Linked DNA regions of Elephas maximus indicus. The protein of the gene in region 4 purifies or fractionates together with the protein of the main gene of each other region. This does not show direct contact. Links are inferred from orthologs where the notes say so. Each region holds a gene or a part of one and is shown on either strand. Other genes may lie near its edges.

The links.
Region 1: the proteins of protein POLR1D-like (region 4) and POLR1E purify together in Homo sapiens (affinity purification with mass spectrometry; 3 studies listed by BioGRID and IntAct, with this or other methods). This does not show direct contact. The link is inferred for Elephas maximus indicus from reciprocal best matches to the Homo sapiens genes POLR1D and POLR1E.
Region 2: the proteins of protein POLR1D-like (region 4) and POLR3F purify together in Homo sapiens (affinity purification with mass spectrometry; 3 studies listed by BioGRID and IntAct, with this or other methods). This does not show direct contact. The link is inferred for Elephas maximus indicus from reciprocal best matches to the Homo sapiens genes POLR1D and POLR3F.
Region 3: the proteins of protein POLR1D-like (region 4) and POLR3E purify together in Homo sapiens (affinity purification with mass spectrometry; 3 studies listed by BioGRID and IntAct, with this or other methods). This does not show direct contact. The link is inferred for Elephas maximus indicus from reciprocal best matches to the Homo sapiens genes POLR1D and POLR3E.

The regions. Positions count from the first base shown.
Region 1 is NC_064827.1:46,343,662-46,351,307, reverse strand, and holds the start of POLR1E (DNA-directed RNA polymerase I subunit RPA49), read right to left. Parts: upstream 3,017-7,646; 5' UTR 2,935-3,016; coding exon 2,859-2,934; intron 2,329-2,858; coding exon 2,225-2,328; intron 983-2,224; coding exon 906-982; intron 1-905. UniProt on the Homo sapiens protein: Component of RNA polymerase I (Pol I), a DNA-dependent RNA polymerase which synthesizes ribosomal RNA precursors using the four ribonucleoside triphosphates as substrates.
Region 2 is NC_064843.1:59,142,032-59,149,561, reverse strand, and holds the start of POLR3F (DNA-directed RNA polymerase III subunit RPC6), read right to left. Parts: upstream 3,015-7,530; 5' UTR 2,788-3,014; coding exon 2,726-2,787; exon of another isoform or gene 2,387-2,725; intron 1,746-2,386; coding exon 1,628-1,745; intron 1-1,627. Other genes in the region: DZANK1 (double zinc ribbon and ankyrin repeat-containing protein 1), read left to right, coding at 5,073-5,181, 7,294-7,447. UniProt on the Homo sapiens protein: DNA-dependent RNA polymerase catalyzes the transcription of DNA into RNA using the four ribonucleoside triphosphates as substrates.
Region 3 is NC_064830.1:82,340,920-82,348,846, reverse strand, and holds the start of POLR3E (DNA-directed RNA polymerase III subunit RPC5), read right to left. Parts: upstream 3,016-7,927; 5' UTR 2,878-3,015; intron 1-2,877. UniProt on the Homo sapiens protein: DNA-dependent RNA polymerase catalyzes the transcription of DNA into RNA using the four ribonucleoside triphosphates as substrates.
Region 4 is NC_064841.1:59,713,440-59,720,898, reverse strand, and holds the start of protein POLR1D-like, read right to left. Parts: upstream 3,014-7,459; 5' UTR 2,955-3,013; coding exon 2,929-2,954; intron 1,933-2,928; coding exon of another isoform or gene 1,569-1,932; exon of another isoform or gene 1-1,568. Other genes in the region: POLR1D (DNA-directed RNA polymerases I and III subunit RPAC2), read right to left, coding at 1,569-1,932, 2,929-2,954.

The DNA.
Region 1 (7,646 bases), on a different chromosome or scaffold from region 4:
CATGTATAAATTTTACGGAGGCACATATGAGTAAAACCATACTGATTATGGGGAGAAGACCACTCTGAATTAGAGAATCTTTGTGAGGGGATGCAGCGTGTTAATACTTTTAAGCATATGTGCATTAATCTGACTTGTATCAGGATGTGGTCTAGTGGGAGTTCAGACAGGGCCTTGTTTGTGGTTCACTGTAAGGAAACCCTGGAGGCGTAGTGGTTAAGAACTATAGATGCTAACCAAAAGGCTGGCAGTTGAAATCCAATAGGCGCTCCTTGGAAACTCTATGGGGCAGTCCTACTGTTCTATAGGGTCGCTATGAATAGGAATCGACTCGACGGCAACAGGTTTTTTTATGGGTTGGGTAGCATCACAGGGACCCCATCTGCATTATGCCAGCCCCTGAGAATTGTAGCCTGTTTCAGCTGGACAATCTTCACTGTACAGAGAGGGAGGACAAGGGTCAGTGAAAGGCAGAGTTCTCCAGTGTCGCTCAGTCAACTACCACGGAGCTAGATGGAAACCCTGGGCCCCTCCTTCCCAGCCCAGAGCCTTCAACACTACTAAATCCTTTTCTTGTAGTTAGTTCCAAGGCAAACTTCAGGCAAGGTCTGGTCTACTAATCACACATTCCAAATTTGTAGAGACAGCTGTCAATTGGAATAAGACAGATATAAAGAATATTACAAATTAACACGGTTTAAGAATTTTTAACAAATAGAAGTCATCTCTCTTTTTCAGGAATATTAACAGGCTGGTATGAGGATCCCTGGGTCCAGGAACACAGGGACTTGTTAACCTCCCTACGTTCTCCCACTGCCCCTATGATAAAGACTGATAACAAAAATGCCAGTGGCACCACCTCTACCCTCCCCATTACCTTTAATGCTGCCCGTCCCCATCACTACCTGCACAAAGTGTTGCATTTGAGGGCTCCGGTCCCAAAATTGTTCCCCACATAGGAAAGTCTGTCTGTTTCAGCTGCCTAAAATATAGAAGGGAAAAAAGCTCCACTTAATGTCAAAAGGTACTAAGTATCTTGTCTCCTTTTTATACATTTGCAAAAGCTTTAGAATGCAGAACCACAGTGGATTAGAACTAGAGAGCCACTGGGAGGTGGTACAGCCCCACTATCTCTAAGTGAATCTGGGGTACCCCTGGGGAAAGGGCAAGAGGACTTTTGAAAGGTAAGCCCCAGAAGGTGCTGAGTTCTAACCATATTAAAGGTTCCTGGCCGAGGTGCACCACAGGACTTGGGGGAAAGGCCCTGGGCTCCCAACACATATACATAGGCATGCAACAAGGTGATTCTGCAGGCAACCTCCTTGGCCTGGAATCCAAATTCTCTTTTATCCTTTTTGTTCACTTCTACCATGACTACTCTTTACGTACTCTTAGGACCACGGAAATGGTTAATTCACACCCCAATCACAGTCAAGCACTAGTTCTTGCTATCCTCTTCACCTGGAATATCAAATCTCACCTGACAGTCTCTCCTACCCCCATCCTTCAGGGCTCAGCTCCAGTGAACCCTCTTCCAAAAAGGCATTCTGGCAAGCAGAGAGTTCTCCCCTTTCTGAGCTCACTCTGCCCTGTACTCTCTCCCTTAGGCCTTGAGCTTTGTCTACTTGTATGAGTGTCCCTCACATCCAATTCTCACCTCTCCCTCCAGAGCAGAGGCTCTCAACCCAGGACAATTTTGTCCCCCACCCCAGTGGGACATTTGGCAATGTTTGACATTTTTGATTGTCACAACTGGGGGTTGGGGGCGGGGAAGAGTATTACTGGCATCTAGTGGGTAGAGACCAGGAATGCTGCTAAATATCCTGTGATGCACAGGACAGCTGCCCACAACAAAGGATTATCTGGCCCCAAATGTCAATAGTGCTGCAGTTGAGAAACCCTGTTCTAGAGTATGAGCTCCCTCAGAGCGGCACCAGGTCTAGTTTGGCTTTACCCCCAACAGGTTACAGCACAGGGCCACGGCAGGTGCTCAGTAAATGCTTGTTGAATTAACAAATGAATTAACCGTCATCACTTCTCCAAAAGTTCCAAACCTGGATGGCCAAGCCTGCCCCACACCAGCTGTGGGGCGGGGGGAGGAATAGTTCTTTAAAGGCCCATTTGCTGCCCCCCTTTTTTCCTCCCTCACTCCCTTCACAGCCACCCACACCCAAGGGACCTCCTGAGGTCTGCAGAGTGGAGGTAATTGGCAACCATGACTTACTAAGATTCGCTGACTCCTCTTCCTGGGGTTTGTGGAGTCTTTATTCTTGTACAAGGTAAAGTGCATGTTGCCTGGATTCTGCAGCTTTCCATTGGAGAACTGGACTGTAAGGTTGCAGCCAAGAGCAGAATGAGAAGGGGACCCACAGTGTATGTGAAGAGGAAACGGGGAGTCACTGGAAGTGATTCGAAGAATGGAGATGGGGAAGGAAGTCCTGACCCAGTTGAGAAGGGATGAACAGGTGAGAGGAGCCCCCGGGAGAGCCTGTGACAGGAGGGAATGACTGGGAGGATAGAGGTTACAGAGGAGGTCTGGTCCAGTTCTAGAAAAACAAAGGGGCTCTCTACCCAGAGGAGAGAGGGAAATGGGGCAGATAGGAGAGATGGTGGATGAGGGGACTAAAGGGTCCTGGGCACGGCCCTGGGGAGGGTGTGGCAGGGATGTCCCCATCCAGCTGGGAGTGGTGACAGGGTGGCAGGATGACGTTGAAGCCCTGAATGAGCCCCAATGAGTAGAGACTAGAGGGATACTGGCCCAGGTGGGAGGGGGGCCAGGCGGGGCGCGGGAGACTGGAGAGGTACCAAGAGACGGAAGTGGGATAAAGGGAACTCCGCTCCAGCTCCGCAGTCTTTACCGAGTACAGCTCTCTGGCTACCGTCGGGCTCCCCACAGTACAGCCACCTCGCACTCGGCAACACCTCCGCCGCCATCTCGCCCCTCTAGCGGCCACAACTCGAAGCTGAACTAGCCTGGACTACCGGGTGCATTAGGTCACACGTGGTATCCCGCCTAGTGCGCCGAACCGGAAGGGCGTGGCCTCGTGAGGCACCGCCCCGCGCGCTCGGAGACGCGTGTTTCCGCCCCCTCCTGACATCGCCCTCCCCCCTGCACGCTCCTCCCCGGAGCGTGTCGGCGCGCTGCCCCGGCCACTCAGCGCAGCAGCTCGGCGTGCTGCCCCGGCCACTCAGCGCAGCAGCTCGGCGCTGACAGGTGTGGTCTCCGGCACACCGTACCCCTGCACTATACTGGTTTTGTGGGACTAGGGCTGAGGGCGCCCAAACGTCTGCAGCTTCAGTCTGTGCTTCGTGTTTGGTTTCCAGCTGCTCAGCATGGTCTGGATAAAGTATGATCTATTTCTTCTACATTGACAAATATATCTTCCTGAGACCTGAAAAACTAGGTTCAAACTTAGGATTCTCCTACTGGACCTCCTCCAGCTACAACTAAATGTGGCAGCTGGCGGAGAGCTACCCACTCTCTAAGAGTTGCCATCTACACATGTGGGCTCCCAGTCCTTTAGTCCAAGCTGCGTCCACAACCCCGCCAGCACCTCCCCCATGAGCTAGGAGAGCATACACTAGGATCAGGGGGAAATGCGAACAGGCTCAGAGCTTTTGGGCAGGGAATTCTTGGTTGTGTCCTAAGAGGGGAGGTGGACCTGATGGGCATGTCCCCTTGGCCCTGAGGATTCCACCCCGCTCCCCGAGGGAAGTTACCAGAGCAGGGCCTCTAAAGCATGGACCCAGGCCAGGGGTTCCTCTTGCCAGTCAAAAGACGGTACTGTTGAAGGGCAAGAACTCGGATTGGCTCTTCTCGGTTCTCCAAAGCGCCTTCTTTCAAGACTATGTTCAGGTTTCAGCCTTAAGAAGCCGTCCCTAGCACCCCTGTCACCCCCTACACAGACACCCAATCTCCTCCAAAAAAAACCTAGCACTTCAGCTTCCCTTTACCTGAGCAGTTGCCACATTTTTATAATGACCCAATCGCAAATTTACAGAAATATTGCGAGCAAGTATGAGTAATTTTTTTTTTTTGCCCTGATCATTTTAGAGTAAGCTGCCAACCTGAATTCCATTGCCTCTGAAGACTGTATAGTATTTCCTACTGACAAACACATTCCCTAAATACAATGCAGTCATCAAAACCAGACAATTAACATGGATGCATTACTTCCATGTAATCCTCACACTCCATGTAAATTAACCATTGGTCGCACTAACTTTGTTCGTAGGGAAAGGATCCTGTCCACAATCACGTGGTGCATTTAGTTGTTATAGCTCTTTAGTCTCTTATAATCTGAAACAGTTGCTCAGTCTTTCTTTGACTTTCATAACTTTGACCATTTTAATGATCACAGGCCAGTGATTTGTAAAACTTCCCTCTGGGTTTCTAAATGATCTAATGTTTCCAAATGATTAGTTTCAGATTATACATCTTTGGCAGAACTATTTGTGTTCTTCTTGTATTCTATCAGGTGGCACATAATTTCGATTTACTCCATTACTAGTGATACTAACTTTGATCACTTGATTAAGGTAGTGTCAACCAGACATCTCCACCACGAAGTTATTCTTTGTCCCTTTGTAGTTAGTATTTTGTGGAAGGTACTTAGAGACTGACTATGCAAGTGTCTCATTCATCACATTTTCAGTTTATTAATTTATGTCAGTTTGGACTTGTTGGTTCCTATCTTATTCAGTAGATTAAAATCTGCTGTTATCATTATTTGTTTCTGTGTTGAAATGTTTCCAGATCGTGCCATTGGAAATCCCTTCGAGTTGCCTGCTGTGTCCTTTTGACATGCCCCATCAGTTTTAGAGCATATCCCTACCTCCTGGCACAACAAAGTATCCCAGTTCATCTTGTACTTTCCCTGCCCCAACCCTGCAATCAGCTATTTCTCTAAGAAATTTTTGCCGTAAGAAATTTCTCTAAGACATTTTTGCTGAGAAATAGAATTTAGAAACAAAGATCTGTGTGTTAGATATATTTTGCTTTTGGCATGCCACTGCTCCCAGGCCCTCTTGGTTGGCCAAATTAGGAAATACATGTATTAATGCTTACAACTGTATTTATTTCTAGATCTGTATATATATACTGAAAATCATGAGTTCACACTGACCTCTGATTCTAATCCAACACCACAAGGGTTCATTCTAGTTTTCTTTCGTCTCATATTTGTAACTCCCTTGGCATAGTGGTTAAGAGCTACAGCTGCTAACCAAAAGGTCAGCCATTCAAATTCACCAGGTGCTCCTTGGAAACTCTATGGGCAGTTCTACTCTGTCCTATAGGTTCACTATGAGTCGCAATCGACCTGACGGCAATGGTTTTTTGTTTTTGTTTTTTTCTCTCACGCTGAGAAACCTGGTTCCAGTTAGCCTTAATACATTCACTTATTTGATCAATCCTCTGTAAGTAATCATCTCCTGCCACCACCATGACCACCACCACCACCTGACATGGATGCCCTTCTTACTTCATTCAGGCTCTAACACCCTGTACTGGGCCATTACCAACGCCATTCCACCACCTGCATGAATCCCCTCTTCACTTTGCTCAGACTCTGATAACCCCAGCCAAGCTGCACCCCTGCCCAGTGCCACAGATTGAATTGTGTCCCCCAAAAATGTGCGTCAACTTGGCTAGGCCATGATTTCCAGTATTGTGAGGTTGTCCTTTGTTTTGTGATCTGATATAATTAACCTATGTGTTGATAATCCTAACCTCTATGATAATGAGGCAGGATTAAAAGCAGTTATGTTAATTAGGCAGGATACAATCTACAGGATTAGTTTGTATCTTGAGTCAATCTCTTATGAGATACAAAAGAGAGAAATGAGCAAGAAACCACCAAGAAAGAAGAGCCTGGAGTGGAGTACATCCTTCGGACCTGGGGTCCCTGTGCTGAGAAGGTACTAGACTCACGGGAAGATTGATGACAAGGACCTTCACCCAGAGCCAACAGAGAGAGAAAGCCTTCCCTTGGAGCTGGCACCCTGAATTCAGACTTCTAGCCTCCTAAACTATGAGAGAATAGATTTCTGTTTGTTAAAGCCATCCACTTGTCGTATTTCTTTCATAGTAACACTAGATAACTGAGACACCTAGCTGGGCTCAGACACTCTTTACCTGGCCACCCTTCCACATGGATGCCTTTTCACACTCCTTAGGCTCCAGCACCCCTGTTCTAGACCACTGCAGGCTCTCCTTCTGCTCTGAGTGGAAATCTACCTTTGCTTGACTCCTCTTGATGGCTTTTAGATTTATTGGGGGGGGGGGGGGCGCAGTGAGGGAAGAAGAGGAAAAAATAAGCTTAGTTCTAATTATTTGCCTGTTTCCCACCTGATTGTTCCCTCGCTAAATTTATTTGGGGTTAACAATAAATACTAAAACAATAAAAATAATTTGGGGGTTAAGCAATAAAAAGATTTATGCCTGTTTGTTCGCTGCTGTAGCTGCAGCTCCTGGACCAGTGCCTGGCACAGAGTAGACCCTCAGTTAATGTTGAATGTGTGACAGAAAGGAAAGGGTCTTAATCGTGATTAATCCTGAGAGCCTCACACAAGGACCGGAACTCAAAGATGTTGGTTGAAATGAATTGGCAGAGGGTTTGCAGATAGCAGATTCTCTGTAAGTGTTGATGGGTTGAATGACCACATGAACAGTTAAATCATAGTTATGGGATGACAAAGAGGCGGGAGTGGCTACACAAAGTCAAATGTCATTCTTGAGAGAAGTGCCCTGGCCTCTCCTTATATAGGGTCGCGGTCTATGGCCTTGCTACTCAAAGTGTGGCTCATAGACCAGCAGCATTTGCATCACCTGGAAGCTTGTTAGAAACGCAGAATTAATCTGCACTTTAACAAGATTGCACAGGTGACTCCTGTGCATTTAGGGTTTGGGAACCACTGTTGTACAATATGGAGCCCTGGTGGTGGCAGTGCTTAAGAGCTTGGCTGCTAAGCAAAAGGTCAGCAGTTTGAATCCACCTGCCGCTCCTTAGAGACCCTGTGGGGCAGTTCTACTCTGTTCTATAGGGTCGCTATTAGTGAGAATCAACTGTATGGCAATGGGTTTGGTTGTACCATGTTAAACAAAAACACCCAGCGCCATGTTGTTCCCCTTTTAAAGCACATCTTTGTCAGTCAGAGCAAGTTTGTGAAAGCTCTCAGAATTGGCTGCTTTGTAGATGGGTGGAAGAGTGAAAAGTACCACACACCTACTGAGAGCAAAGATTCCAGAATTACCACAGGCAGGATTTCAAAATGACAGATTCGATCAGAGGAAGGAAAGAATTAATGGTGAGGTAGCTGACGAGGGAATTGTGGTATACCACTTTATTGTTTAACAATCATTAAAACACATACACCATATATACATATATATATATACACACACATACACATATATATGCATACATAACCGGGTTGAGGCAGGGTTGAGGCAGGGTGGAGGGAGCTCTATTTAGCCAGTGATCCAAAATGCAAAAATCTATGGGGGGTCTCCTCTAGATTAGTAAGGTAAACCAAACCCATTGCCAGTGAGGAAATTCCAGTTAAAGCTTGAGTATACAAAACCATGGAATATGGGCAGAATTTTTACAAAATGTTTGTTTGAAAATTTGACTTGGGAACTTAGA
Region 2 (7,530 bases), on a different chromosome or scaffold from region 4:
ATGGTGGGCTTCCTAGCTCATGGAGCAAGAAAGCTGAGTGCCTCTGGGTACTTAGTGAAGCTAGTGATTTTGGACCGAGGCTTACTGGTAGAGTGCGGTGCCTTTGTGCACTTATCTGCAGAGCTAAAAGAGCTTTGTAACATTTGCCTGAGCAGAACAGAGGCCGAGGGGCCAGAGAGAGGCGTGCCTGTGGGCATGGCTAAGAAAACGTTGTCCTGATGAAAGAACTGTATTCTGAGCATTCCTGAACCTGAATTGTAACCTGTTACTTCCTTAATAAACCCCATAATTTTGAGTATTATCTGTGAGTTCTGTGGGCCACCGCAATGAATTGTTGAACTCAGCAGAGAAGTAAAAAGTGCTGTGGGAGGGACAGTTGGTATCACAATTGGCAAAGATGGCAGAGACAGAAGACATGTCTGACCTCTGCCTCATAAGAATCAGCCTTGGGCTCAACACCTTGATTCTCCTTCCCCCTTGTGAAATTAGAGGAGGTTGTGGCAGTGGGAAATGTTCTTTTTGTCCTTTGATCACCCTCTCAGCTCTTTCCTTCCTGAGAATGATCCTTAGCACCTTCCTGTCTTTCGCCATCTCTGCAGCCCCCATCCACTGCCACAACCTCCCAGAAGCTCTCCCTCTACCTTTCCTGGAGCTGAAGACCTTCATGGAGAATTGACTAAAAATACCAACATTCCTCTTCCCTTGGGCTAGAACTTGTAATTACAGTTTAACTGGGATACTGCCATATGCATTTGTTTATGATTTATCCATGGCTACTTGCTAAAACCATAGAATCAGTAGTTGTGACAGAAACCACACGGCCCACAGAGTTTAAAATATTTACTGTCTGGCACTTTACAGAAAAAGTTTGTCCACCCTTGAAGTAGAAGGTTGAAGGGACTGATTTAACAGAAGGCTCACCTGTCTCCATATCCACAGTCCTTAAAAATCCAATAAAAATGCTCGCAGGAAATGGGAGTTTTGATGATAGAAAAATGGGAGAAGAAACAGGTAGACTTAGAGCACTGGGTACTAGTAGGTGGGGTGATTCTGGACAGTTGGAGGAGAGCAGCATTAGGGTCCCAGGTTCTTAAGGAGGACAGAAAAAGAGGTAAGGGCAGGGAGAAGGGCTTTACTGAAACAACCCTCTGCTACCTCACTGGAGCCTGAGGCAGCACTTCTTTCCAAAGGCTCAAGACTACTGAGATGCAACTGGGCTCATTTCTGTTTCCTGAAATGCCCAGGGTAAGATTGATACCCTGATGAACTGGCTCTGTGAAAGCTGGAAGGAAGGGCCCAACAATAGGAGTAAGAAGCAGACAGAAGGTGAGCACAGACTATTATGCTTTCACGTCCTTATGTACCTTAGTGACGATTAGATTAAAAAATACAATAGTTAAAAAAAAAATAACAAAGTACTACTTATTTTCATTCCTCTTGTAACCCCTCCCCAAAAAATAACCTATAATTTCTTCTTCCCTCACTTTAGGTAGCCTGTGCTGTTTTACGGTTTGTAGTTGTATCAGTTACAACCGAACACACCTTCTGATTTTATGGCTACATAACAGGAAGTATTGACAACCATGACAGGTAAGTAATTACATGCATGAGTTTGAATTCATCTTACCATGGACAACAGTCTATTGATGGCCACTGCCCGCTGCTGGGCTTCTATATGAGGCATTTCATTCTGAATTACTTGGTCTGTGATTCCATGAGGGAACTGGTGACATAACTCTATAATCCTAGGAACAAAGGCGTTAATGATATTATGCATGTTTGCCTGTTTCAAGAGGCAGGAGGGGAAATACAAGCAGGATGGTTTGAAATTGTCCTTTTTTTTTTCCCACTTTTGGCAGATAATCTGTTTCTATAATGATTCCAAATCAAATCATGTAAGAAATTCAGACACATGCTTTCTAAATACACATTTACATTATTGTTGTTGTTTAAGGGGAGTACTTCTTTCCCTCACTTATTTCAACTTTAAAATAGAATGAAAGTTAAATGAAAACACGGGGGGAAAAAAAAGCTGAGGCTTCAATTTTCTCAGATGGAATAACTGTGACAAAATTAAGTTGTAGTGCATTCGATAGCCATAAGCCTGTAAAGAGAAGGCAACTCCAGACACTTGTGGTGGGAAGCCAAAACTTGTTATGGCATCGTACCATAACTGTGAACTATTTGGGGGATTATCCTTACCAAACAAACGTAAACCCAAATCTTAACTTCATCACAGGCTCATCACATCTGTGTTATATATAACCGTTTGGGAAAGTTGAGGGTCTTATGAAACTATAAAATCTAAAAACAGCAGTGCGCTGCCAGAGAATGTAAAACTAGGACAGACTTTAGGTGTCCTGAGATCTTAAGTTCAATAACGCACCGAAGTAATCACAAAGTGCAGCCCTCGCTGCGCTCGAACGTTCTGCTCCGGGAGTTCCCTTAGTGACAAGACAGATCCTGGATCGGTGCACGTATCCCCAAGCATTACAGCCGAACCCAGAGGGTGTCCTTTCTGGCACTGATCACCGTAACGTAGGAAGGAAGGCATCATCCCAACTTCGCAAACAGCATCAGGGCAAAGTCAGCTACACAGAGTTGCAAGCTGTCAAGCTCGTTTTGAACTTAAGAGTTCTGGTATCCGGGGCGGGAGGGGAGGGTCCAGACCCCCGCAAGCCCCTTCACGTGTGCTCATGGATCCCGGAACCTAGACTTGCTTTACCTGTTTTCTATTTCGACCGGATCCGCGTCGGGCGGCTGCACCTTCACCTTCACCTCAGCCATGAGGGAGCAGATCCGGGCCCGTGCGGGGAAGACGAGCACTGAGTCGCCGAAGAAAACGCCCACGAACCCGGGGACCGACGGTGGACAGCTCCCCGCCGGGGGACAAGGGGCCTTCTTCCTCGTGTCGCAGCCAGTCCTTGCTCGTCGGTCGGCTTTAGGCGGCCAAGTCACGCCTGCGCCGCCTCGCTCGCCGGCGCCTCTACGTTTGTTACGCTCTGCTTGCTTTACCGAATGGTCATGCCTGTCGGACGAACGAGACTGGTTCCTCCATTCTACGTGGCGACATCAGCTTTTAGCACTTTCCAGCCTCCGTGAAGGCATATACCCGGACGCCTAAGTAAAGCCCCGGCAAAGGCGCGGGAGGGGCGCACCCCGTGGAGGCCCCGCTGCGGGGGCGGAGCTGGTTACTAGGGAGCGAGCTTTCCGCCAATCACCTGCCTCGCTCTCAGTGGGCGGGGCGCGGCTTGCGGCGTCGGTGGTAACCCGGGTCGCCGCCGCGGAGCGGGAGCGAGGAGGTGAGAGAGCAGAGACGGGCTGGGGGCGGTGGAGGTCCCTCGGTGGGGCCCGAACGGGGGCTGGGTGGCCCGAGGAGGAGGAGGAGCAGGAGGACCTTCCTCACTCCCGCCGAAAGGATGCGGGCGTCCTCGGCTGCAGCTGACGGACGGGGGCGGGGACCTTGCAGGGTACTGGATCCGGGCGGCGAGGGAGTTGGGTGTTGGGTGCTGTTGACTCAGCGCTGCTGTTTGGGTTTCGCTGGTCGGCGTCCTTTTGGGTCTCTTTCACGTGGGGCCTGCTGGGCGCCCCAGCCTCCCAAGGGCAGCTGCTGTGGCGGCACGCGAATGACTTCCTCTCGAACTAGTTGTATTTTGAACTGATTTCTCAACTATTTTTATTTTAACTGCATCTTACTTGAATGGAAATATGGTGATGGGCAAGCCCCGCAAGCCCTGCAGCACTTCTGTAGGGACTATTACTCTGCTGTCAATATCTGCGGTTTAAATTCTTGGCCTCCAACCTGGAGCATTAAGTTCACCCTTAAATTTATTTATCCCACTTTTGGTAATAGAGCCTGTGTCAAAACTTGGGCTACAAAGATATTCAGAGCAGCTTCCGCAACCACCAGAAGTAAAAAGCAACTAAAAATAGCCTAAATGCCTAACCACAAATTGATAAATAAGTTTACATAAGGACACAGAAAACTGAATAATCAACTGAGGGTGCAAGAAGTGGGCTGTAAAAATTGAATGAATATATAGATTATAATCGAATATATAAATTATAATCAAGTAATCTGGATGTAGCCACAATCATTGAATTTTCAGAAGGCATTGCATAGCTGTAGATGGTTGCTGTGATATGGAGATTGGTTTTATCTTCTGAAACCTCATTTTTTAAAAATTATGACACTTTCCCCTAGGAAAAAGATCAGTAAGGCTTCCATATTTGTAGCTAGTACAATAGACGGAATGGAAGATTGTGTTTGTTGGTAACCGTTAATATCCATGCCAAGTTCCTTTCAGCTTATACTCTACAGTCCTTCTAAAGTTTCCTTACAGCTTTGAAGTGCAAGAACCACTGTGGTGACAACTGTAGCGCTAAAGACCTGGCTTTTCCCAAGGAGTTGGTTCTAAATTAACATTTCGTGCTACATACAGATTTAATTTCTGTTCCTCTGCTGTGATGACTCGTCCCAAAGCTGAGAGAGGTTGTACACTTACAGGAGGCTGGAACAGGTGATGATGATCAAGTGGGAACTCAGGGCAGATCATTAGTGATGGTCTCTGTTCTGCCTGATTCCTTTAATTTGCGCATCCCTCGGTCCTGTTGATTCGTGTTCTTTTCCCAGAAGTGAGGTGAGTGTTCAGATAATCAAAGCTCCACACAAGACTTCAACAGCAAAAATACAGCTGAAGCGTAATAACTACTTCAATTGAAAATTGACTAATATTTGTAGGAGAGACATGGTTAAATCCCTCAGCTGCTAACTGAAGACTGGTGGTTCGACAAAGAAGGGCCTGGTGGTCTACTTCTGAAAACTCTGTAGAGCACAGTTCTACCCTGACACACACTGGGTCCCCATGGTTTGGAATTGACCTGATGGCAACTGGTTCAATATTTGTATTAACAGTAGTCTCTGTTTCTCTCTCTCTCTCTCTCTTTTTTTTTTTTGTTACTAGTTATGCTGCACTCTAAATGAAGTGCTTTTCTTCCACTTTTTTGTTCAAATATAGATACACGTTGGAATTTACTTTTATCCACTTTCTTTTTTTAAAGTAAGGAAAAAAATGACTGCTGGTTCAGTGTGTGTCCCTCAGATCATACCACTGCGAGTGCCTCCGCCCGGAAAAGCCAAACATGAAATTGATAACAATACACTTTTGGAAATGAAATCGGGTAGGAATCAAATGTATTTGAAATCATTTAAAATAACATTGTCATACTCTTTACACTTACCTGGTTCTTCACTTACTTCTTTGCATGCTCTCTATAGTCAGTACCTTGGGAAATTTGTAAATCTTCCAAAATTTGGAACAGTGTGATATTTTGATAGCTAATAGAGTCATGTATACTTAGATTAAAATAGTTGGCTTTGACCAACCTTTCTTTGGGGTAAGTACATGTTGCAGCTATGCCTCAGCTTACCTCAGCTAAGGTAAGATGTCCCAGTCGAACCCCAAACTTTCCCAGGATGCCCATTATTTTGCTAGAATAATAAATTTGACCTGCTTGCAATTTAGACATGTTGGGGACTGACCCCTGGCATGACAGTTTCTAATGACCTTAGACACATTACTTAGCCATTCTCAGTCTCAGCTTCTTCCCTGTAAGATATGGATAATGACATCTACCAGTTAGAGCTGCTGTGAAGATTAAATGAGTTGAAATATACGTGAGATGCACAAGGCCTGGCACGTAGTGATGCCAAAATAAATCTTAAATATTATTATAGAAATAAAGTGGCAAATATATTTCCTGGTAATATTTAGTCTTCAGGCTCTTTCTGCACACGCACACACAAACAATTAACATAAGGAAAAGGGAAAGTTTTATAGATAAAACGTGGACGAATGCCCTTATTAAAAAGTCTTCGAAATTCCAACTGTATATTTTAATAGCTGAAACATATAAAAACTTTTTATCTGTATTTATGTTATAAGCCCTGTGCTTCCTAGACCTAGAGTTGCAGTTAACAATATGCTACATTATACTATGTCCGGCTTTATTTCAAAGGCTAATGTGATTTTTTAAAATTCTCAAGCAAAAATAAAACTTCAATATATATGCATGTAAGTCTTAGGAGAAGTGGAGTGGTTGTTGATAAATGATGATAAGAATGATAAGGTATCCAAATGTTCTAATATTGAAAAGTTCTAATAAACAAAACATTTCCACAATTCAATAACAAAAAGAAGAATAACCCAATAGGAAAATGGGCAAAGGATGTGAAAAGACATTTTATAGGAAAGAACATATAGGTGCCTCTTAAGCATATGAAAAGATACTTCTACACATCTCTTCACCTGCTTTCTGAGTAGACCTTGTCCCCCTTACCTTCCTTCATAGCATTTATTCACCGCCTGACAGTATGCATTGTTTGTTGGTTTATTGTTTGTGTGTCTCTCCTAGAACGGTGCCTGGCACATACTAGGTACTCAGCAAATATTTGTTGAATGAATGAATGAATCTTACTCAATATACGAGAATTGTGAGTTAAAACTACAAGATACTACTTTTTGTTGTTTGCCTAGGAGATTGGTAAAAAGAAAAATCGATAACACTATTTGGGTGGACTGTGGGTAAGCAGGCACTTCCATGCATTTCCCGTGGGAATGTAATTGTTTCCTCCTCAGTGGAGGGCAGTTTGGTGATATTAATCAAAGTTGCAAATGCACATATCTTTGGACCCTGCAGTACTACTTCCGCATATTTGTTTTACAGCTGTGCTTACAAAAGGAGCTCTTTACAAGGATATTCGTTATAATTCTTGTAATGGCCAGAAGAAAGAAAAGAAAAAGAAAGCCTAAATGAGGGTTGATTAATTTATAGTTCTTTCATACAAGAGAATATGGTGCAGCCATACAAAAGCATGAGGAGGCCCTTTATGTGCCCATATAGAACAATATCCAAGGTATAATCTAAAATGAAAAATGAAGTGTGTGGAACAGGATGTGGTGTGCCACAATTGGTGTAAAAAGAGAGTGAGAAGTAAGAATATGTACATATATACTGATGCGCACTTGGGGATACTCAAGATATCATTTGAATCATATGAATTTATTATCTTTAAAATTTTTCCCCAAAAAATGTAGGAATCATTTACCAAGTCCAAATAAAACATAACAAAGTACAATGCATGGAATAGAGGAAGAATTTAATTATTGTTACTCATTTTTATAATATAAATAATAGATGTATAAATTTTCCATAAATAACTGACGTATAGGCATACCTCAGGGACTGGCTACTTTTGAACCAATTACAGTTATCCTGTTTTATATTTTTCAGACACCCCAGATGTCAACATATATTATACCCTGGATGGCAGCAAACCTGAATTTCTAAAGAGAATCGGTTACGGTGAAAATAATACATATAAGTATACAAAACCTATTACTTTGCCTGATGGAAAAATACAAGTTAAAGCTATTGCAGTTTCTAAGTAAGTCAATAACAGTGATTAAATGACTTTTTAGCATAATGGAATGACATTATGTTTTAATTTTACTTATTTCTTCCTATGAA
Region 3 (7,927 bases), on a different chromosome or scaffold from region 4:
AGGCGCTCCTTGGAAACCATATGGGGCAGTTCCACTCTGTCCTATAGGGTTGCTATGAGTCAAAATCGACTCGATGGCCATGGGTTTGGTTTGGTCTGTTGGCTTATGTGTTGCCTGTCTTATGCACGAGAATGTAAGTTCCACGAGGGCCTCGCAGTGCTTCGGTTTCCTCAAATATAACTTCACTGAGTTATTGCTGGGTTTTTTGTTTGTTGTTGTTGCTTCCTCCCTTCCCCCAATTCACTGCTATTCTCCTAGTACTTAGAACAGTGCCTGGCATAGAGTAGACATTCAATATAGTACAAAGAATAACCGAGTGAGCTGAACGCATGAAAGCAAGCAGCCACAGACTGTCAACCCAGTGAGCCTAACTAGGCCCCATCCAGAAATGGCAGCCTCATGGTTTGGGCATCATGGGCACTTGAGTACAGACAGGTGAACTGAACTGCAGTAGAGCACACAGGTTCAAATCCCACCTCTGATGCTTACTAGCAGTAGGAGGGAGGTAGGATTTCCAGCCACCACAAGCCAAGCTCTCACAGAAGCAGTAAATCTGTGACCACCTCGGGTTCAGTGGGGTGTCCTGTGGCCACAAGGGCACTCTCTGGCAGCGGCTCCATGGGCTTGGGCAAAGGAAACTAGAATAGCCTCTGACCCCAACAGGGAGCTACTCAACAAATGCAAAAGGGACCAGGACAACCAGGTGAAGCTAAGGAGGGCCCTAGAGCAGAGGAGGTACTTGAAGGCTATGGCGGGGTACACCCACACTGCACCCAGGAATCTAACCTGTCAGTCAATCAGAAAAGCAGAGGAAACTCCAAATAATCACTAGCTGATGGATGAAGGGAGTAGGGGTGGTGGTGACAAAATATAATGGAGTTAACCCTTTGGTGACCCAGTTACTTTCTGCTTTGAATTTTTTGTTAATACCCTGCGTTTTCATTGATGGAAACATGCTGTATCATTGAGTGTATCTGAATTTTTGGTCAGTAGTATGGATTTTTTTTTTTCTTGCCCCGTCCCACAAGCCTGCCCTAAGTGTTTAGTGGTACATATAAAGTACACTAGTTATACCCCAGAGTCCCCACTGGGGCCTACTGGTACATATGTGTAACAAATAAAATTTTTCAAAGTTTCTCTTTTTTCTACCCAAAACTTAGACACCTCATTCAATACCCTGTAAAAACAGTAATGTGCAGCACACACCCATTTCTTCAATTTCAAGCAGTCATAAAGGTCCCTGCCTTGTGACAGCACACACTATCAATAATACAGCAGGTTCCCAATAAACCCCAGAAGCTGCAAATGTTGATGGTCACTATATGTAGCATTGGGCACATAAGGGTTAAGGGGAAAGGGCCCCAGGGCCAGTAGACACAATGCCTGGCTTCTTACCAGCTTCTAACTGGCTGTGTATCCTTTGACAAGGTATCTCCCCTCTCTGAGTTACCTAGGTTTCCACCTCTGTAAAAGATGAGTTGGCCTGGCCTAGGTAGAAGGAGTAATTAACCCAGCGTTTATCAGGTGCCAGGCCCTTCTCTAAGGACTTTACATATATTCTCATTTAATCTTCTCAACAAACCTGTGAGTCAAGACTTAACATTCACATTTAAGAAGGAATATTGAAGTTCAGAGACTAATTTCCCCAAGGTCACGGTTGCAGAGAGCAGCACAGCCAGAATAGGAAACTAGCTGATGTCAAAGCTTCTTATTCTTAACCACTATGCTAGACATTACTCCAACAATAGGAAGTATAGCGTTGTGGGTAAGAGCCTGGACTCTCAACCTGGATCTACGTAAGTTCAAATCCCACCTCTGCTCGTTGCCAGCCGGTGTCATTCTGTGAACGGTCTAATTTGGCTTTCCCTCGCTATTTTCAGACCGAAGATGGGGATAATAAAAGTGCCTTCCTCCAGAGGGCTGCAGTGAGGAATAAGTAAGGTAATAAATGTAACCTCTGGAAAGGTTTGTTATTATTTGGCAACATGTTTTCTCCCAATGTCAGAGGGTCTGATACTTAGCCACAAATCAAGTCCTGCATACAGAAGGTTTACCTGTCTTACCCTATTTAGTCCTCACAACCCTAGGAGGTAGAAATTTCTATGATGCCCATTTCACGGACAAGGAAACCGTGGAGGTTGCTAAGATCTCTTCTTCCTGCCCCCAAACCCAATTCTAAAACTAACAGGCCACAACGACCTTGTTTATTTACTGGTTTACTTGTGCTTCCTGTCACCTACTTTGATCAAATGGTCAGGGTCGTATCTGCAGCATAGTTGGCTCTCAATAAATAACCCAAAAACCCAGTGCCGTCGAGAAGCCTGAATAAATGGATGAAGAATTCCGGGCCTGGTTCGGCAGCGGTTAATCTGTTTCAGGTGCGAGGAAGGGGCCCGGGAAGGCTCGGGGTACCCTCTCACGCATCCATCAGGGCCGGCCGCCCGGTCCCGAGACACACTGTCCAATGGGTGTCGCCTCCCTCATGGGTAGGCAAGTCCCCTTCTCACGCCCCCCAAGTAGCCATTGCTTCTAGCCGACAAGCCGGCCGGACACCGGCTCCCTGCGGACGGGGGCTCCTGGAGGAAACCGGCCCGACCCGGGCGGAGTAAGGCAACTGGTCCCTGAGTCACCGCCGACAGTCTCGGCATTGGTCTCCCCTACTCCCGGGCCGCGCCGAGGGGTCGGAGCCCGCGGCTGGCCTTGGTTTCTGGGGCAGGCTGTCGGTCCTCGTCGCCCGGGTCGCGAAAGGACCCCGACCCTGGGCATGGCATGGCACTGCCCGGGCCTCCTCGGCCTACTCCGGAGCTCAGGCCAGGCCTACCTCGAGAGTGCACCCGGTTCAAGCCCAGGTCCGGGTGCAGCAAACTCAGGACTCACCTCTCCGCGGGGGCCGCACGCGGACGGCGGCAACGGCCCAGGTACCCGCGGGCTGCAGAGGCGGTGGCTACCCGGCTCTCTATCAGGCAGCAGCCATGTTGCTGATGGAGAAACTCCGGCGGACACGTGGGGGGAGCTGGGCGGACTCCGCGCTTCCTCTTACCCACAATGCCCCGCCCCGATGCGCGCAGACCCGCCCCTCCGCCGCTCCATTCATACGGAAGGTGGCGCTGACGCGTGCGCAAAACGAAGCCGTGTGCTAAAGGAACAAAAGACTCAGCTGGCAGCGGTGGGATTCGAACCCACGCCCCCGAAGAGACTGGAGCCTTAATCCAGCGCCTTAGACCGCTCGGCCACGCTACCTAGATAGCGTGTGGTGTCTCCGGAATACTACTTATTATGTTCGAATGTGTTTTGTGTTCTCGAAATCGTTACATATTTTTATATTTTCATTTAATATGCGTTGTATCTGAGCCCAATATAATTATTTACAACATGCTACGTCTTTTTAAAAAAAATATTTGCTCTGGTATTTAGACCTGTACTTGTTCCAAATAGGTTTTAGGGCGGAAAAGAGTTTAAGGGTCTACATGCTCAGCTAACTCGGACGGGGAACCTAGGCGTAACCCGCACGACGCTAGTTACGTGTCTCGGAAGAAAAGGTACTCCTGGCAGTAACCCGAACTGGAGGCTCTAATGGGCAAACCAGGGGACGTGGTCTGGGCGGTTGTTCCTGAAAAATTTTGTATTTTAATTTTTAATTACACAAATAGTACGTGAATTATCGCAAAATATTAAACCTTTGTACATAAGGTTTAAATGCCCTTTGACTTTTGACCCCCATCCTAATCCCCTCTGCTGAAGTAATTATTATTATTAAATATATATCCTTCCATTTCGTTTTCTGTTAATTTATATGGCTATATATATATCCATTCATATGGAAATTTACATATACATATCTATAAAATTTCATACACAATAAAAACAAAACTATTTTATATATACATAAACACATAAATAAGTATATATATCCATAGAAAATAGCTTTGCTTTTATTGCGCATGAAATTTTACATAAATAGTATTCGAATTGATCTGCAATTGGCTTTTTTTAAAACCAGACTATGCATTTTTAAATATCTATCTATTGTTGGTGCATATAGATATTTCAGAATACAAAAAGAGTAAAAGAAAAAATAATCAACCATATTTCCATACAACCACCTGGAAGTAGTTACTGTTAATATTGTGGTATTTTTTCTTTCCAAATCTTTTTCTACATATATGCTTTTGGTTAAATGTTACAGGTAATGATACGAATATGTTGTCTCTTAAAAATTCATGCAAAAATATATTAGACCATTACCAATAAACATAAAGCCCCCCTTGACCTCCACTTCATCCCAAACTTCCTCCCCTGCCCCCAGCTCTATCTCTTATCATGAATTTCATCGTATCCTTTCAGTCCATCTTAATCTTATACTTTTATGAGTATATAAAATTATATATACATGGAAACCCTGGTGGTGGAGTGGTTAAGAGGTATGGCTGCTAACCAAAAAGTTGGTGGTTTGAATCCACCAGATGTGCCTTGGAAACCCTATGGGGCAGTTCTATACATCACTATGAGTTGGAATTGACTCAATGGCAATGGGTTTTTATATATACAAAAGCTCCATGGACAATATACAGTGTGGTTTTCCATGGACAGTATATAGTATGATTTTCTGTATGTTTTCATTTTCATAAATGGCACCACATTGTACCAGTATCATTCTGCAACTTGCTTTTCTTACTCCAACATTATGTTTTTGAGGTCTATTATTATCCATATAGATTTAATTCATTCCAAGCTATGAATATGGACATTTAAATTGTTCCTAAATTTTCACATCACATACAATACCACAGTAAAGTTTCTTGCACATGGCTTCTTGTGTATGTGGGTGGGTTTCTTCCAGAGTATATAGTACCAGAAATGGAATTGCAGGATCATATGCATATTTTCCATTGTGTTAGATATTATCAAATTATATGACCTTCAATGATTTTTTCTCCATTTCTTTCCAGATTTTCTACCTTATCCTGAGTCATTTTTTGGTAAGTTTCCTGGAAAACAAAGCGTTCCACTTGATTTTTCACATTTATTGGTGTACAAAATCTGAAATTTCTCTCATATCTGAGTTTTGCCCCCTTTACTATTCCCTACTCTATACATTCCCTCTACCATTGGTGGCTCTTCCTTCCCCCATTAATTAGTTCAGCTTGCTCCTTCTCCAGCCTTGGTGGCAGACACATGTAGTGATAGGAAGAATGGGCTAAGGACAGCACAGTTGTGGCAATGATATTAGAGGTTTTGAGTTCGGCCTCTCTTCTCTGCCCCAGCCTGGATTCAGTCTGAGATCTATGAGACTTCAAAGCCCTGTACACTTTCCAGAACCTGCTCCTAGGTCTGTAGAAATCAGAATCCATCCTTGATGGTGAAAGTCACGATATACGCCTTCTACCACTCCCACCCCCCATTGCAATGCTGATATATGAATCTTGCCATTGACAGACAAAAAAAAACAACATTGCCATGGATTCTAACTCAAAGTGACCCTATAGGACAGAGTAGAACCGTTTAGGGTTTCCAAGGCTGTAACCTTTACAGAAGCAGATCACCAATCAACAGGTCTTTTCTGCTTTGGAACAGGGCTAGGTGGGTTTGAATCGCCCACCTTTCTGTTAGCAGCCAAGCGCTTAACCACGGCACTGCCATTGGCAGGGGACCACATTTAAGAGCACAGGCTCTAGAGTCAGACTGCCTGGGTGTGAGTCCTGGCTCTTCCACTTATTTGATGCATGATTTGGGGCAAGTTCATTTCTTCATTCATCCCATATTCGTTGAATTCCTACTATATTTGAGGTGTGTTCTGGGCTCTAGGTATACAACAGAAAACAAATAAAGCCCCTGTCTCATGAAGATTGCATTCTAGTGGAGAAACTGACAGCACACCAGTAAACTAAAAAAAGATAAATCAAATTATGATAAGTGCTATGAAGCAAAAAAGTATTATGATGGTGGAGTGATTGGGGTGGGAACTGTTTTTGAAGGGGTAGTCGTGGAAGGTCTCTCTGAAGAGGTGGCAGTCAACAGAGTCCTGAATTTTGAGAAGGTGCCAGCTTTGGGAAGAGCGTAGCATTCCAGACAAAGGAAACAGTGAGCACAAATTCTTTAACCTCTCCAAGAGGCATGTAAATGAACTAAATGTAAATGGATTAAATATTCCAAACAAAAGGCAAAACTGGCAGAATGGATAACAACAAAACAAACAAGATCCCACTATATGCTGTCTATAAGAGACACACATTTCAGATTCAAAGGCACAAATAGCTTAAAAGGACAGAAAAAGATGTATCAATCAAACCATAAGCAAAAAAGCTGTAGTGGCTATACTAGAAAATGTCAGGCAAAATCAGATTTTAACACAAAATTGTTACCAGAAACAAAGAAGGACCTTTTGTAATGGCCACCCAGAGTCACCTCAAAAGAAAGGCCTTGCAATCTGCTTCTGAAAAATTAACCACTGAAATCGAGCACAATTCTACCTGATACACATGGGGTAACTGTCAGTTGGAATTGATTCGACAGCAATTAGTTAAATTAGTAAGAAGGCAGGAGACCCCAAACAGCCACGACCACCTGTCTCAACACAATAAGTCAAGTCAATGTTTAGCCCAGTACTCACCGGGTAAATTAGGCAGCAATTCCAAGCAGGCCAAGGCTGGCGATGCCTTGGACACATCCCTAGAAAGTCATATAAATCACACTTTTGTAAATAGAATTCCAGTTCTGTGTTGACTATGTTAGACTTCTCAGGGCCATGATCCTGTTGGCCGCGACCACCACCACCATTTGTCACCAAGTTAATTCTGACTCATGGTAACCCCATGAGTGTCAGAGTATAGCTGTGCTCCATAGGGTTTTAAATGTTTGATTTTTTTTTTTTGGAAGAAGATTGCCACGAACACTCCTAACATTTGGGTATTTGATATCTCTCCTCTTCCAGTCTTCCTTAGCCTGGTTTTTATTTCTGTATTTACCTTTAACATAAGTAATGGCATGCAAACATTTCATTGTGCTGGGACAGCTTGTTGCTTTTGAAGGAATTAATAGAAAAAAAAAGTACAGAAGCAACCATCGATGGAGGACACAGCCAAGGCATTGTGACTGGTACAAAGCTAAATGAGAAATAGTCCTTGAAGTCAATAGAAGCATTGATCTAGTCATGGTATTTTAGGACTGGATCCTCTCAGTGCAAGACTATTGCTGGAATCTGCCCAATTACCACTTTTCTAGGAATTGCCCGACCAGCCCAGAGAGTGGATGTCAGCTGAGCGTGCTTGCCCCCACAGCCATAGCAAGAGGGTTGTGTGGTGGTTATTAGGACTCAGGTTGGACCAATCACATTTTCTTCTGAGAATCTGAACTGAGACATTGTGAGTTGTTGATTTATTAACTTGAAGGTGTTAAGTGTTGGAGTTAGCCTCTGAGACTGGTTGTAACTAGGAAGAAGGGGAGGTTTGGGGTGGCCATATTTTGTGGTGGAACCCTGGTGGCACAGTGGTTAAGAGTTCAGCTGCTAATCAAAAGGATGGCAGTTCGAATCTACCAGCTGTTCCCTGGAAACCCTGTGGGGCAGTTCTACTCTGTCCGATGTGGTCATTATGAGTCAAGTTGACTAGATGGCAACAGGTTTGGTTTTGGGGATTTTTTAAATATTCTGTGACATAGGTTGGAGAAGTAGAGAAAAAGTCAGTGCATTGAAAAAGAGAAAATGATAAAGTGAGAAGAGCAAAGAGTCAGAGAAATCCTGATGGTTTTCTGGTTCCAGCTCAAGATTCTTCCCAAAGTCCAGTGGGATTCCCACCCTTGGAGGCATCCCTATTCATCCCTGTTCCCCTTTCCTGAGAAAGCTAGTGCTACCTGGTATCTGTCAATTGTAATAAAAGGATCCTCCTTGCATGGGGCCAAAACTTTAGCAGCTGGTAAGAGCTCAAGTGAA
Region 4 (7,459 bases):
ACGCCAGGCAATGTGATCACGAGTTAGTATACCAGGAAGACAGACAAATAAAAGCACTAACAGTAGCACAATAAACATTAAGACAAGGAAACATAGGGTGTAATGAAAGCACTTAAGCACCCAAACTAGGATGGGGAGTCTGATGTGTAAGTTTTGACCTAGAGTACGGAGGGACTAAGTGTTCCAGGAAGCGGAACAACATAAAGGCCCCAAAGAGCACTGCGGCGGGGGAGGGGGGGATGGAGGCTAGAGTGCTTGGGTCCAAGGGTTGACATGTATTTAGGGTCAATGAAGAGTCGAGCTGGGCGGGGGTGGGACAGGCACAAGAGACAAACTGAAGAGGTAGACAGGACAGATTTTGGATGGGATTCACTAATATTTCAAGTTTTCTGGAAAAGTTATTTTCCCTAGACAGAATTTTCCTTCTTACTTTCTCTTGAACGATGCTTTTTCTACGTAAACCTGAGTTATTCTTAGAGACCTATCTAAGAACTGAAAAGGTTACCTAGACATTTCAGTTTTCTCTTCCTTGGAAACCCTGGTGGCATAGTGATTGAGTTCAGCTGCTAATCAAAAGGTTGGCAGTTTGAATCCACCAGATGCTCCTCGGAAACTCTGGGGTACTTCTACTCTGTCCTATAGGGTCACTATGAGTTGGAGGTGACTAAACAGTAATGAGTTTAGTTTGATATAATAAAAACCTTTTGGCCAACTTAGGTCATTTTCTTTTTTTTATGGTAAATATATATGTAACAACACATTTGCCTTTTCAACATTCTTCAGTGTACAATTCAGTGACATTATTTATGTTTATCCTGTTGTTCAACCACCACCATTATTCATTTCCAAATTCTCCTATCACTTTTATACTTAGGGCATTTCTGACTAAATATTTTATCAGTATCCTGAAATTCAAGCAAGAAACTGGCATCTATTCTATAAGAGCTCCCACAAAGATGGAGCCTGACACCACCTAAAACTCTCATGGGAAAGCAAAACTCATAAAATTCTTTCAAATTATCCCCCAACCTTGCCCAATACTGCAAAGGCTGCAATTCTCTAAATATATATATATACACACATACATATCTATATATATATATCTATCAAGAAACCAAATTTTCCTTTCCTTTCCTTTTTTTCAATCAACCAGTCTATCTGGGGCTATGTTCTACTGCCCTTCCTCCTCCAAATCACAGCCATGAATGTGTACTCCTTTTAAGTCCTATGATCAAAGTCCTTGTCTAAGGCCTGGTTTCCTTATAGTTTCCTCACTATCAGTACTGGCTCAGCTAAAAGAAAAAGAAAATTCATCCTTGGGTATCATTTGGCTACAAATAACAGAAACCACTCAAACCAGTTTAAATAAGAGGGAATTTATTCAAAAGAATACAAAAATACTTGCAGGGAATCCAACAGCTGCAATGGGTCAATAGCTAGAAGCACACCTTTCTGAAGGCTAGATCATGCTTTAATCACACAATTCTACTTCTGGGTTGTGCATGATCGTGAAGAAAATATCCTAGAGTATCCTTGTCATATGGTGCATAAGGGGCTAGAATGTAGACTCATTTCTGATTGCCTTTTTGGTCCTTATAGTCCTTTATGCTTGCCTCAAACTTGTCAAGCACATGTTGGCAGACACTCATGAGCTCATTCAGGCCTCTCTGAAACAGCTCAACGGCTGGAAGACCACCTCGTGTCTGAATGCGTAAATTGATTTTGCTCTCTGAAGGATGGGTCGTAGTGTAACCACAAAATTCCACTTCTGGGTTCTTCATGATCATGTAACGAAGAGAATTTCCTAGGGTATGGTCCTCTTCGTGCAATACAAATGTCACACAGTGTCTATCTGTTCCAGCTGCCTGGACCATTTCCAGGGCAGTCTTCCTCTCGCCTTCAGCCACTGAGGTCTTCGATCCTTGTGTTTTTCTACACACACATTTTTTATAAAAATGAGATCATACTGAATAGTTTTCATGACTAGCTTTTTTTCATTTACCAATCACAATTACAACACATTTTTACTCTAATCCACTCCAACCACACAGAACTATTTATTTGTCTCTTATTTTCCTGCCTCGGCAAATTCATTTAACCAATATTTAAATTACTGCCTCCAGTTTCTCCCTACTCCATTTGACCCTCCATAGGGACACAAGGAGAGCCTTCTTAAGGCACAAGCATAAATGTTTGCTAAAATATTATTTTGGTAGAGTCACAAGAAAGAGATAAGATTAGAATAGGGTGGGCCCTGCTGGAGGATGAAGAGGGCACCGAAAGTGATAGGAAAAAAAATACTGCTTAAGTGTAAATGTCAGATTTAAGTCCACAGATTATCGACATGCAGGCCCAGCTATGGCTTCCATTTGCAAGAGGTAAGGAAACTAGAGGAATGGAAGGTCTGAGAATAGTCAAGCAGGAGGGAGAAAAAGAACTCAGCACATAGAGAAGTGGCTTTACTAACAGTCTGCACAGAGAAGCTCGGGAGCAGTAAACACAGGACTTGCTTGGGTCTGTGCGAACACCCCAATACCATCCACTCGGGAACAGTGGCCTGGTGCGGAATGTCACCCGTTAGTTTTATTTATTCCTGCTGTTCTAAGGCGGGAGGAGCAGCTCGGGGGCTTTGCTCTGGTCTCATAACTTGTCTCCCCTCCTTGATAGCTACCAGTCTACGGAGCGTGTCCATTCAAGCCATCCATGTCTCTCACCCTCTCTCTCTTCCCCATGGCGGGCCCCCTCTCCACCCAGGCGTCCACGTCTATCCCCCTTTCCTCTCTTCTCGGAGCCCCGGGTCAGGCCCATCCTGCCAGGCCGGGCGCGGAGGCCGAGGCCCCGGCCTGGCCGCGCGCCTCCTGCCACCGGCTCTCCGGCCCGAGCGCAGCCCGCTCCTCCTGCCCGCTCGCCCGCCTCTTGGGCCGTTACCTCTCCAGCTCCTGGTCGTCCTCCATCGCGGCGGCAGGTTCCGGGCTCCTCAGGCGGTGCTGGCGGACCGGAGGCTCTGCCCCATACCGCGCAACGTGCAGGCGAAGCAGGAAGGAAAGACCGACGGAAGGAGGGGAGACGGAAGGAGAGAGGAGGAGCCGCTTCGGCGCGGCAGGGCCCGGCCGCTGGGCGGAGCTTAGAGGCTCCGCCCCGGCCCCGCCCCCGGCGCGAGGGGGGCGAAGGCGCGAGGCCCGCCCTGCTCACCTGGTGCTCCCCCGGCAGCCTGTCCGCAGAGCGGGAGGGGCGGAGAGGTGGGGTCCGGCGAAGGCCTTACAGTGAGGCCGGATACAGGCCGGTGTATGCCGGAGCTCAGCCCTGGGCACCTTCCCCCAGGTGAGGGCCAAGGGGGCGGGGCCTCACCTGCCGCCCCCTAATCACCTTTCTTAAGAGTCAGGCCTCTTTCTGTCTTGCTGTTAGACCCATGAGGATAGTGTTGCTCCCAGGCTGGCCCCTCCCGGCACCCCAACCCTCAAGGGGCTTTCATGGGACGACCCTAGGAGCACTCAGCGGGTACTGAGGTCTCTGTAGATCGCATTAAGTTTATCAATACACTTTTTAAGAAAGGAAGGAGGTAATGTGGAAAGAGAAGAATTTCAAACAAAATGGTTTCAGACAGTATTTGTCTCGTCGGAGATCTTGCAGTTGCACAACGTCTCGATTAGGCCAAAGGACACGCGTTTGCCTTTATCTTGGGGGAGTGAGAGTTTGCAAGAAAACTGGTTTTCCCCCTTTCTACCCCTAGAATACGTCCATCCCCGCTTTGGGCTTCTTTCCTCCCTTATCCTTTTGGCTCCTTAAACAACCTCACCTGCGGAACCTCCCTCTCACCTTTGTTCCCAGGTGCCCTGCCCCCGCCTCTGCAACCTTTCACCACCCGGAATCGGAGCTCTCCGCCCGCTTTCTTCCTTCGTTTCGCGTCTCTTCGTCCGCTCAGGTGCTCTTGTTCGTCAATAACCGGTTCTCCCTTCCCACTCTTCCGCTCCCAGCACCTCCCTTGCCCCCCGTCAGGCCCTGTCCACACCCCAGCTGTCCTCTCCCAGCACACCTACATTTCTTTTTCCTGCACCACCTGTTCTTGCCTCCCTCCAGATTTCCCTATATTTCCATCTCTCCCCCAGCTGTCCCATTCTCCTTGCGGCACTCGGGCATCGGGGACTCGTGCTGAGACACTTCCCGACCGCGTCTTTAGCAGGGAAATCAGGCAGGCGGCGGGGACAACCCTGACGCGGTGGGGGAGGGACGGCGGCGAGCGGGCTCACTCTAACCCGTGAGTGACGGCCCCTTCCTGACCCGCCCCCGGCGCACTCGGATAGGTGGAGCCGCCGTCTGGCCCGCCCCTTCCCCGCCCTGGGCGGCCGTGGATTGGCCCCGGTGCGTGTCAGGTTGGGCGATTCGGCCCCGGCGCTCGCCCCCGGGAAGACAGCAGGGGCGGTTGAGAAGTGAAGTCTTGGCCAGAGTTTGGTTCTTGCCAGGAAATCCGCGGCGGCGGCTGGAGGCAGCGGCCACGGCGGCGATTCCCGGCGAAGCGGCGCCGGGCTCGCTTCCCGCTCCTTCCGCGGGCTGCGGAGAGCGGGAGCCAGCGCGGGGCTGAGGCGCCGGGAGCTGAGCGCGCCGGACAGCCGTGCTTCCCAGTAAGTAACTTTGCCCGCCGCCGCGTCCGCTCTCTCAGGTGCCAGCGCGCTTGGCGCGGGCGGGAGGCTCGCGTGCAGGGAGCTGCGGGAGCCGCCGCACCGGGAACGGCGCCCAGCCTCCCCTCCCGGCGCGCCCCTCGCCGGCGGCGCTCTGGCTGCCTGGTGGAGCCGCGCCCTCCGCGGGTCTGCTCCCTCGCTCGCCCGGTAGCGGAGGGGACCTGGGCCGCACTTGCCGGCCCCTCGAGCGGACCCGGCGTGGGGGCCGGCCGCGCTTGTCCGGGACGGAAGTCCGAATGCCCTGCGGCGGTGCCGGCTGGAGCGGCGGGCGGCCCCGGGCTGGTCCCCTTGGGTGGTTTCGGCCGCTGCGTTACTGATCTCGGCGTCGTTTGCTTTTTTTAGGGAGGGGAGAGGTGGGGGTGAGCTTTTTATTTCCCGTACCTGTGCTATAGGGGAGGATGAGAGTGGTACGAGCTGCCTTCGCATCCGATCTGGTTCCCCTGGAAAGGGAGAGACAGGGAGAGCGCATACCCCTGTCCCAGCCTGTTGCCTGTTCTCTTCTTACCTTTCGGTTTAGGCTGCAGGGGGTGGGAGAACGATTTGCCATCTTCGAGGTGGGAATTTCAAAGTACAGATCTTGATTTGGAAGCAGCTGCGTGCAAAGCACGGTTTAGGAAATACACCACTCATTTTTCGAAGCTTTTTTCCACGTTTTAAGCCAAGGACTTTTGACCTCTATGTAGGGTTTCTTATGGTGTTTCAGTTTGTATTAAAGGTTGTACATCCTGATGTTCACATCTTCCAGAAGCTAAAGTCAGTTCCTGTATGGGGCTTCACTGTGTAGGTTATTCTTTTGAAATCACAGAGATCAGAGACGAGGTGAGATCAAGTGCAGTGGCAGTTCTGCAGGGGAAAACAGTTGGGAACTATGTATTATTGGCACTGCCTTCACTTTAAGAATTCCGTATTCTTGCATCAATAGTACTTAATGTAAATTGGCCTTCGTCCCAGGATAGATTTTCATTTGTCTCTTGCATGTGCTGTGACTAAGTGCTGATGGAGCTGGATCTCAGTAGATCAATTTTATTTATTTTGGTAGATTTGATTCCAACCCTCATTCCTCCCCCACTTTGGAAAATGTACTTTGGCAAGTAAAGAAGGAAGAGGGGAATCTGGTATCTTCTTTGGTTTGTCAGAGCTTTGTTGAGCCATGAGTAACAACGTTTTGCCTTTTTAGTTGGTCCAAGTCACAAATGTGCATTTTCCCAGAGGGGTCAAATGTAGGCCAAATCTGAACCAAAGTAGAATAACCCATTTGTAATTCAGCCCACTGATGTGCTCACATTCCTAATTTTGTATCTCATTCCTCTCCTTTTCTCATCAAGTTAGAAATTTTTCATTCTTTCTTCAGTTATCAAAGGATGGCATACTACTGCATGCCACGTGTTGATGGCCAGGGGCAGCCTTGCCCTGGAGTTGCTCACAGTCTCATTTGGAAGCTGATACAGACCAGTGTTCTATTAGTTATCTGAAGGTAATTTGAACATAGTGGTGCAGAAACTCAGAAGAGGGAGCAAATTCTGTCTGGTTGGGTTAGGATTTTGCCAACTATATTCTAGGCAGAGGAACTAACATATATGCCACTTGCAAATACTTGTATCTTTGGGGTGTTGCTATATGAAGCCTGCATATGGTCAGTCTGGCTGAAGGACAGTGTCTGGGTTTCAGGTAGTAGCCCCTGGCTGGTACGTTACTCTTTTTGGAGCAGTTAGCACTTTGCATTGCTCACAGTGGGCGGTCAAATACTTCGTAAACTGATTTTAACAGAAACATGAAGCATTTTGTAAACCAAATTAAAAAATTTGGACTTTATTCAGTCAGTGATACAGAGCTGCTAATGTTAATTTGGACAGTGTCATGATAACATTTCCATACCCAGAAAGATACAGGTTTTCCCTGCTATTCCAAAGAAGAGTGTTCCTGTGAAACCTTTTGTAAGCTAAAATGGCATAAAGCAAAGAAGCAATTACCTTTAACTTCTATGGAAAATTTTTTGCACATTCCCAGACCCAAAAAATAACCTACCAAATCATACCAAATAACATATAAAGCCTAAAATAACACTAACATGTAGTAAAAGCAGGAATGATATGACAAGTACACTGCCTGTATAAAGTAGAAATAATGTATGGTGTAGTTTCACTTAGCAGAATCGGGAAGACAGTGAACATACCGGAAGGCTGAGAGGTGGTGGTGGTGATGGTAGAAGCCCCTGTAACCTGGTTATGGCTACTTGATGCTGAGTGTAGTTCCCAGGGAAGGAGTTGGTGACGCCACTCTCACTGCTCAGAATACACGCTACCTCTGTAAGGGTTTGCTGCAAAACAAACACCGAAAGCTATTTCTGCTTTTTGCCTTTTTTTTTTTTTTTCATGAAAGCGAAAATCCTCTTCTGATTTCTTTCGGTTAGCGAAAACAGGTACTAACGTAGGTCTTTCATAAAAGCAAACTGGCATAAAGGGAACTTTAGAAAAGTGGGGCATTCCTGTATCTCTGCCATAGCCTAGAGGATGGTGAGGATCTGGATGGGACATAGAAAGCACAGTAGGAGGCTGTTACAGGAAGTTCCAGCCTCAGAGCTCCTCATTCTGGACCCAAATGGCCCGGATTTAAATTTGGCTCTGTCACTAACTATGTAACCTCTTTGTTCATTAGTTTCTTCATCTCATAGGACTTGGGGGATAAAACTTGATCAAACATGTGCATTCCCTAGCCCCTAGCATAGGGCTTAGCACATAGTAAACCTGTTGTCATCGAGTCGATTTCGACTCACAGCGACCCTA